2 linked regions of the Bombyx mori genome follow. The protein of the gene in region 1 purifies or fractionates together with the protein of each later gene. This does not show direct contact. Links are inferred from orthologs where the notes say so. Each region holds a gene or a part of one and is shown on either strand. Other genes may lie near its edges.

Region 1 (3,836 bases):
GGTAACCAATGATATGTTTTGTGATTCTTCTAATGTAACTGACTAGTAAAATGAAAACATTAAATACACCCATTTATGATAACAACAGAAAACAATAACATTCATTATAAATATTAGGACAATTGCAAAGTCTTCTTATGTTGTCTCCCAGAAACTTATCCATTAATGCATCATTGTACGATGTATAATAGTATGAGTATTACATAGTTACACTGAGATATGTATGTCTGAGGATGTTAAAAGCATGAAAAATAGCACGATACTTTAAAAAATACAGAAGCTTAAAAAGAATTTCATATTTTTATAAATTATAAATATAAGACAGTTTTAGTTAGTGCTCAGTAAAAGATCTTGGCTTAATTCCAGTCATAATTCATTTAAATATTCATTTTAAACCAGTGTTCAATTTACATAGTACGGATTTCAATTCATTGGGAATAAGCAAGACCTGAGCTTGTTTTGGATTATTCTAAGTGATGAAACTGTATTCTAATATGGAAAAGTGCTTGTAATTAACTACTTAAATAAAAAGTCAAAAGTTAATTTTTTACGTAGTTTTGGAGGCATTCCGAATTTACTTCCTACTTTTTAAACAACTTCAAATAAAAATAAGGTGGAGATACTCAATTTCTGCTGTAGGATTTTTTGCATCAATGTTGTATGATTCCTTTTTCCAACAAAACAGATTATATCTATTTTGGCTTTGCTTGAATTTGACTCCTGTGTGCTTAGTGCGAGTTTTTTAACGTTCTCGATATCGTAAAAGTTAACTCAAATTTGAATGCAGTTGGAACAGCACCCCTAGCGCCAAACGTAGGCAAACGTTCCAACTCCATACAAATTTGAGTTAACTTTAGCTTTAACTTTACACTTAAACGTTAAAAAACTCGCACTAAGCACACTGCTTAGAAACCGACTTAGTTTGGATAAGATTTGTTAAGTATATTCGAACCTAAAAATATTTTATCACGAATAATTAAGAGCGCCCTCCTGGTTAGGATAAAGAAAACTTGAATATTCGCTTAATGGTCATACGCTTTTTCAGGCATTTGGTATAATGTGCGGCCTAGAGCGTACAGCCCTAGCAACATTGGCGCTGTCATCGTTACCGGCGGAGATTGCTCGAGACATGCGCGACAACCCTAGGGCCGTCAGCCGTCTCTCTCACTCCGCTCTGCTACTCTCCATGGTTCTATCTATGGGAGACAAACTTCCGGTCACACATTTCGAGCAGCTCGGCCTTGAATTTGCACAATTTTTGCTGGAGTTGCTTGAAGATCCACCGGAAACCGATGTCGATGAACAGATACCTGATTTGTTTTCAACTCTCCTTTTGGCCTACAACTTGCAGTTTGAGAACCCATTCGACAACATATTGTTGAATGCATTGGAAACAAGGGACATGGCCAAAACATTCTGTGAGAAAGTGCTCTTGTTACTCAATCGTGAAGGTAAAGTGGCTTAATTCAATATAAAACAAAAAGATACAGATGAATTATGTATGTGTATAAAAAGAATTAATCTCATTCTGCATAATAGGGTATACTTTGTTAATCATATTGTTACGCGCTGGGGTTCGGGATAAATAAAACTTCCACCGAAGTACAAATTAAAACTCTATTAAACACTTAGACTTCTTCCGCTTCGCTTCAGGTGATCTGTTCGCTGTTTCGCTTCGAGTAGATCCGATTACTAACTGCCTTCGTGCAAGCAAGCAAGCAAGAGGGGTCGTTGTACCCGTTGTACGGGGGCACGGCGTGCTGCCTTCGTGTCATTTCTGCAATGCTTTTATAGTCGATACGACATCCCTAGAATCATAGATTATACACTTAATATATTAGAGATAGATGCGCAACTCTCATTTTTATTTTTGCTTTAGTTAAAGCCCGGTCCAGCAGGCGTCGCTACGGTCGATTATTAGTCTCCCTACCCCCCACCAGGTGGCTTTTTTAGTAATTTTAATATTTTTAATAACTCTCTTTATGAAAAAATCTTATCGTTTAGAATCGCTGAAATTCCCGGTAGTACTTATGAGATATTAAGGAATGTTTGATTGTGTTCAGCATTCTAATCGATAAGATCTTTTCATACAGAGAGAAAACAGTTTTTTAAAATAAAAAGCTGTAATTCTCTGTAAGCTATTTAATTTCCCTATATTACAAACAATTTTCTGTTAAAAGATTGTATGAACGTACAATTGTATAAAATTTCGAATAACAATAACTCCTCTAGATTAATCCTACTAGCGTACACATTAAATCGAAAGTTATCTAAAAGTTAATTAAGTCTAGATAATCAAATCATTCAATGTCAATTAAGTCATTTGTGCGAAATATAAACATGTCAGCTTTCCATTACAAACATAGTAGACAATTTGAATTAAATTTAATAAATTTGTTTCTTAACGATAGCAGTTCTTGCTTAAAGTTGATCGTGACAGATCATGACCTTGTATGAAAATATTACATTTATAAACACTACCTATGCTTCGTCATACAATAATTGTCATTTAAACTAGCATTGTAGAGATAATACACACACTAAAGTGAATACTAAATTATTCTTAGCATTCTTATAAACATTTAGAAATTTAAGAAACGATTAACCCACTATCATGTTCATAACATGTGACATTTTATTCTGCACAAACGTTTTGTTACATGATTTGAAAAACAAAAAAAAAAAAACAAAAAATGTTTAAAAAATGTAATGATGATTTAAAGTACTCTTAAATATTGATAGTTTGTACTTAATGACGCTTATAGTAATCTTAGACATGATTACATTAGTTATACTTTTATTCCCTATCTAAATTATTTCTATTCTGACGTTTCTGATGCTTTAGCTTTGGTAATACTAGATGAAACAAACAGCAGATTGAAAGAAAATCATCTTAAAGTTAATTACATTCATTACAAACCATTAGTTTGCATTTTGTTACAAAAGAAACTGATGTTCGTTACATGCAAATGAATTATAAACATACACATGCAAACATAAAATGTAAATTTATCTTTTAATCCAAATTAAATGTACATTAATATTACATCTAAATAATAGAAAGGGTTTCGAAAATTTTTATTGCACTCAACAGCAGACGAGCACGCAACCCGGCTCATGATAAGTGGTCACCAGTGCTTATAAACTTCAGCAGTGCCATAGGGGTTGCTGTCTATCACTTAAGTTTTAATAAATTATTAATATACTCAGTCACAAGCATATTGATTTCACATAATGAAAATGTAAGAAACATAATCATGTTTGGGCATTTTCATTTATATCTGCTCATACAGAAAACACAACTTAGCAAATATATTCCACAGTTAATCTAAATAATTGCAAATAATGCTTTTGAAGACCGTTGACTTTTGATCATTAATTAAAATCATCTTCTCGTAGAATTTACAAAAGGTTATTTACAAAAATTTATATCAGTATTTTCATATATTACTAACTTACTAATTACAACTATTCAAACGTAATACTATAACTATAAGAACTAAACAACCTATTTTAAAACAAAATTGGCATCAATTTAGTTCTTATGAAGTATTTCAATTATTAATTTATAAATTATAAACATATTTAAAAAAAATTAAGATCCTTGAGAGTTCACGTTCCTTGCTGAATCAGTTTCTCTTCTGAAACGGAGAAACAAAGTATCTTAAGTATGTAACAAATATTGAAAAATTTAGTGTTAATGTAATCATACTTACAAATTAATATATTACATAACACGTTCTGGTTCAAATATAGTGCATCAATCTTTTCATGTTTCAGACATTTTAGTGCTCCTTATAATTTTTCCATAAAATTTTGTCATTATCAAACCTTTG
Region 2 (4,566 bases), on another chromosome or scaffold:
ACTTCAACAATAACTATTTAATGAAAATTAAATTGATGGCAGCGAGTTTTTATTGCGCAAATCCTTTATCATATTCAAATTCCCATTCTGTTGACTTAATATATTCAAGTTCCTTTCTCAAAGTCTGTATTCTTTTTTGATGCATTTCTTTCTTTTCACAGTGTTTAGATTGCTCTATGCTGTGACCAAGGTGGACATGGTTTAATGATTGATCAAAATTTGGTATTCTGTTTTGTGTTGTTACCTATAACACGAGTTTTTTATTTATTATTAAGGAAAAAAAATATTTCTAGGATTGGAAGCATCAATAAGATATTTTATAATTTTTAACGACATCACTACAATAATTTCATTATCAATAAATAGCATACATACTTGCGGAGTTTCTGCTTCAGATGAGGAATAGGTAGATTGTGAAAGATTGCTAGATGTAGACATTACTAGTACAAAATACTACAAATCCTTTCCTCATAAATTCGCGTATTATGTGTATTAATACCTATCTATGTTAATCGCTACATAAAAGGAACCAACCGTATATTTAAACCTCTTTACAACACAAACGAATTTTAACTTTTGTACTAATTTGTACTTACAATACTTTTTTTATTATTATTTTAAGAGATTTTATGACCTGGTAACTAAGACCTTTAAGCCTTGACTTATTTAATTTTCATTGTTATTTATTTATATTTTTATGAAAAATGAAATGTGCAATAACTGTGGTTTATTAACTGTTTAGTATCTGTGAAAGTGCATAAATGTAGGAAAATGAAACAAAGCCGCTGAACGTAACTTCTGATAGGGTGGATGGACTAGCGGCTATAGCAATTAATTAAAACGTAAATTAAATACTTGAAAACATTGTGTTGACTTGTATAAGAGAAAATTTAATTCAGAATGACACCGCACATCAAAAGTAAAAGGAACATAATACAAATTCAAATATAATGCATCATAGACAATTATACGTGGACAGCATCACAACCTTCCAACAACTTCTCGTTATCTTCCAAAAAGTCCACTGAAAAAGTCTCAGTAAATGACCACCATTTTACTGAGTTTATACTTCATCCCATATCATCTCATCTCATTTCATTTTTTTCGTTTTCATTACATTTCATGCTATGTTTCATAATAATCAACTTCATTTCATTTCATAATATCATTTTCATATAAAAAGGTACGTATCATTAAAATTAAAAATAAGACTTGACCTAAAGGTCTTAGTTACGAGGTCATAAATTCGCCTAAAAAAAATTCTTTCTCTGATATGGTAGCGTTAAAGTTTAAACGTTTAACGCAACCTTGTTGAAAATCGCATTAGAAGTTTCACTTCAAAAATGCTATCTTTTCGAATCTGCACACTACTGCCACAATCTACATTTACGTGATAAAAAAGCCCGATTTTATAAATCAACCATGGAGTTAATAAGTACCTACAACACTAACTCTATGAAATCAACATTAGTAACTATTTATTAATAATCTGTGATCAACATTCCAACAGCTGTCAGTGCTGTCACCGTACACCAATCACTAATAAAACCGCGTTTCCGATCACAAGAATGAAATTATAGAAAAATATTGTCCAAATAATAAGTGTTAATAACTATGAATATTGCTGTACGGGCTATATTTCTTTTGACTGCCTAAATAGACAAAACAAAAGTATTATTTATTAGTCATTACATATATATGTACTATGAATTGTTAATGTTATAATATCTCAAAGCTGTAATTTAGTGAAAAAGATGTCATTGAAAAAGTACTTGAAAACAATGAAGGATGATGAAGATAATTTGGATATAGTATCACCGTGCTTCAAAATAAGTCCTGATGTGCAATTAAAAGAGGTTCCAACGAACGGTGAAGAATATTTACTTAAAGTCATAAAGGAGCGTAAAAACATTGCAGCAGTTACGAAATGCAACAAAGATTATTCAAAGTTTGCCGAAAATCAGTCTCAGTATGTGCATGAGGTCAGTGAAGTTCTGAAAAATGATTTTAAAAATGATTGATTAACAAAATTTACATTCATGTAACCATGATGCCAATGATTTTGAAACGAATTTCTGGTGTAATATCTGCATCTGATGTAACTATGGAAAAGGTTGGGTACATTTCCGCATTGTTCTAAATATCTGCACCAGTAGCTAAAGTTGTAAAACATTTTTAAAATCATTATCTGCATCAATCTAATTTTAATGTTTAGGTCACCTTTTTTCACCAAACCGAGTTTGATTTCAACTATCAAACCTGGTTCTATATGATATAATTAAAATAATAAATTTGTATTAATTAATTTTCAATACACAGAGTTAAGCTCACTTAACTGTGCAAAATGCAGCTGAGATGTCATTTTATACATAATTTTCATTATTGGCACTGATAAGAATAATTAAAGATTTTTAATGTGTACTAAATCAAGAATAATTAATTAATTGATGTCCCTTTTTTATGTTTATTAATATGACTGTACTAATCTTATTCATTCAGGCATAGTAGGTAGTACTAAAAATATATTTGTAAATTATAATTCAAAACATTCACAATAGTAATTTGTAAAATATAAGTAAAACAATAAATACACTGATATTTTATCTTAATAGATTCATACCTTGGGACATATTCATAAATGATTCATTCCTGATGCCCGAATACAGTCTTAAGATGTCTACACAAAATGTCTAAAATGTCTGCAAGATGTCTACACAAAAAATGGGCTACACAAAATTATTCAATGATCATGACCATAAAAGTCATTTTGTAAAAATAAAAAAGTTAATAATCAGCTCACAAAATTGTATATCCTGTTATTAATTTATGATCTGCACTATTCGTAGAAAGCAAACTGCAATTACAGCAGAATTAATTTATAGTTATTAGTCACTGATGGTTTTTGATGGGTGGTCTCAAGATCATTCGTTAAATCTGTGAAATAATACATAACAGATTTTAAGAATATAGTTTTAATAATTTGGTGGCTTAGTAATGTTATTGTAATTTGAATAGATGTCTAATGGAAATGTCTTTTTAGTTCCCGAGGCTATCAGTACCTGAGAAGTTAAAACCTACAATTGAGTGGCAAAACATGCAAGTAGCAGATTTCTCAGAAACTCGAATGTACATATCTCGTTTGCTGTCAAAAAGGAAAATATGGAAAAACAATATTAATATTATAGAAATAAAACCAACCTGTGTAATTGAATGGAAACAGTTCTTCAGTACCCATATTCCAACATTATCATGCGTGCTCGGATTACAACATGCATTACTAGACCAAGGTTTAGAAGTACTTACTGATATTATTAGTAGAACGAAACCTGGTAATACTATAGAACATAAAACAGGTAAGTCATTACTTTACACTGTACATGTTCAGAAGATGATTAAGAGCCGTTAATTAAATTTAAATGGATTTGAACTTCTTCATGTCATTCTCAATAACAAAGTTTGTGGATTTTATATTGAAGTTTTCTCTATCATCTTCCTATTGATTAAGTACAGCTCTTTTGTAAAGAGAAAACTTAACCTGTTTTGTTACTCTCAGCAAACCAAATTATTCATACAGCATACATTCTGCCACTATTCTTTATGTGTTCCATAATTTTGATTCGATCATAGCATTTTGTCTTTACTTTAACTTTATACAAAATTATACAAGATTTTGTAACAACAAGTGAGCTTTATATGAAGAGAATAAAATCAAGATAATAGTAAATTTGTAATTGGGGTAAGGATGATTAGTGAACGCTTTGTAAGGAAATCACATATCAGCTCTCCCAAAAATCCACTTTTAAAGCAGAGATTTCGTAACCACCCAACCTACCTGTCAAATTAATATATATCAATTTTTAAACTTATTTATAGAATACATTGTGTTTTACAAACCATTTTTTTTTAGTACAAATTGTTCAGATGCATACAGAAGAAGTTTTTATTGGGTGGCCTTTTCATTTTCAGGTCAATGGGTATATGCGTTTTTGGCCTGTACCCAACTACCTCTATTGTCTGATACAACAAGTATTCTAAGAAATTTAGCTCGAAAGTGTGCTGAAATAAGGTAAATATAATAACACCTATTGTTATTTACAGCAGGTGACCACAGCTGAATCATAAACAAATGTAACAAAGATTGTGAAAAGTGGCAGTGTGAAATTTTTCAATTATTTAACAAGGGCTTTTACTACCTATACAGGGTAGCTGGTAAGATCCGGGTGAGAGAAGCCTACAATCATGCTGTGGTGTGCAATTGGATAGGCCTATGTCCAGCAGTAAACTGCTATAGGTTGATGATGATGACAAGAAATTTGATTTTTCATTTTCTTATTTAAAAATGGTTGATTGCATCCACTTATGGAAATTATAATTACAGGTTTAGGCTAAACCCTGATGAAGAAAATGCTATTACTGCAGCAACACCTTTAAATATATTTATATGTTTAGTGGCAAGATATTTTAGACAGTATGATCTAGCAGACTGAATTTTAATAAATAAAAACTTATAATGTATGATTTTGTAAGAACATTATTGTGATACTGAAATAAATTTTGTATGAATAT

Evidence for each region.
Region 2: the proteins of NCK-interacting protein with SH3 domain (region 1) and gem-associated protein 2 purify together in Homo sapiens (co-immunoprecipitation; 3 studies listed by BioGRID and IntAct, counting the BioPlex papers as one, with this or other methods). This does not show direct contact. The link is inferred for Bombyx mori from reciprocal best matches to the Homo sapiens genes NCKIPSD and GEMIN2.

Annotation. Positions count from the first base shown.
Region 1 is NC_085116.1:6,564,220-6,568,055, reverse strand, and holds part of NCK-interacting protein with SH3 domain, read left to right. Parts: coding exon 1-1; intron 2-1,045; coding exon 1,046-1,451; intron 1,452-1,653; coding exon of another isoform or gene 1,654-1,820; exon of another isoform or gene 1,821-1,879; coding exon of another isoform or gene 1,880-1,953; exon of another isoform or gene 1,954-3,641; intron 3,642-3,716; exon of another isoform or gene 3,717-3,836. UniProt on the Homo sapiens protein: Has an important role in stress fiber formation induced by active diaphanous protein homolog 1 (DRF1). Induces microspike formation, in vivo. In vitro, stimulates N-WASP-induced ARP2/3 complex activation in the absence of CDC42.
Region 2 is NC_085111.1:13,069,448-13,074,013, forward strand, and holds the start of gem-associated protein 2, read left to right. Parts: upstream 1-1,505; 5' UTR 1,506-1,754; coding exon 1,755-1,982; intron 1,983-3,040; coding exon 3,041-3,353; intron 3,354-3,966; coding exon 3,967-4,066; intron 4,067-4,378; coding exon 4,379-4,487; 3' UTR 4,488-4,566. UniProt on the Homo sapiens protein: The SMN complex catalyzes the assembly of small nuclear ribonucleoproteins (snRNPs), the building blocks of the spliceosome, and thereby plays an important role in the splicing of cellular pre-mRNAs.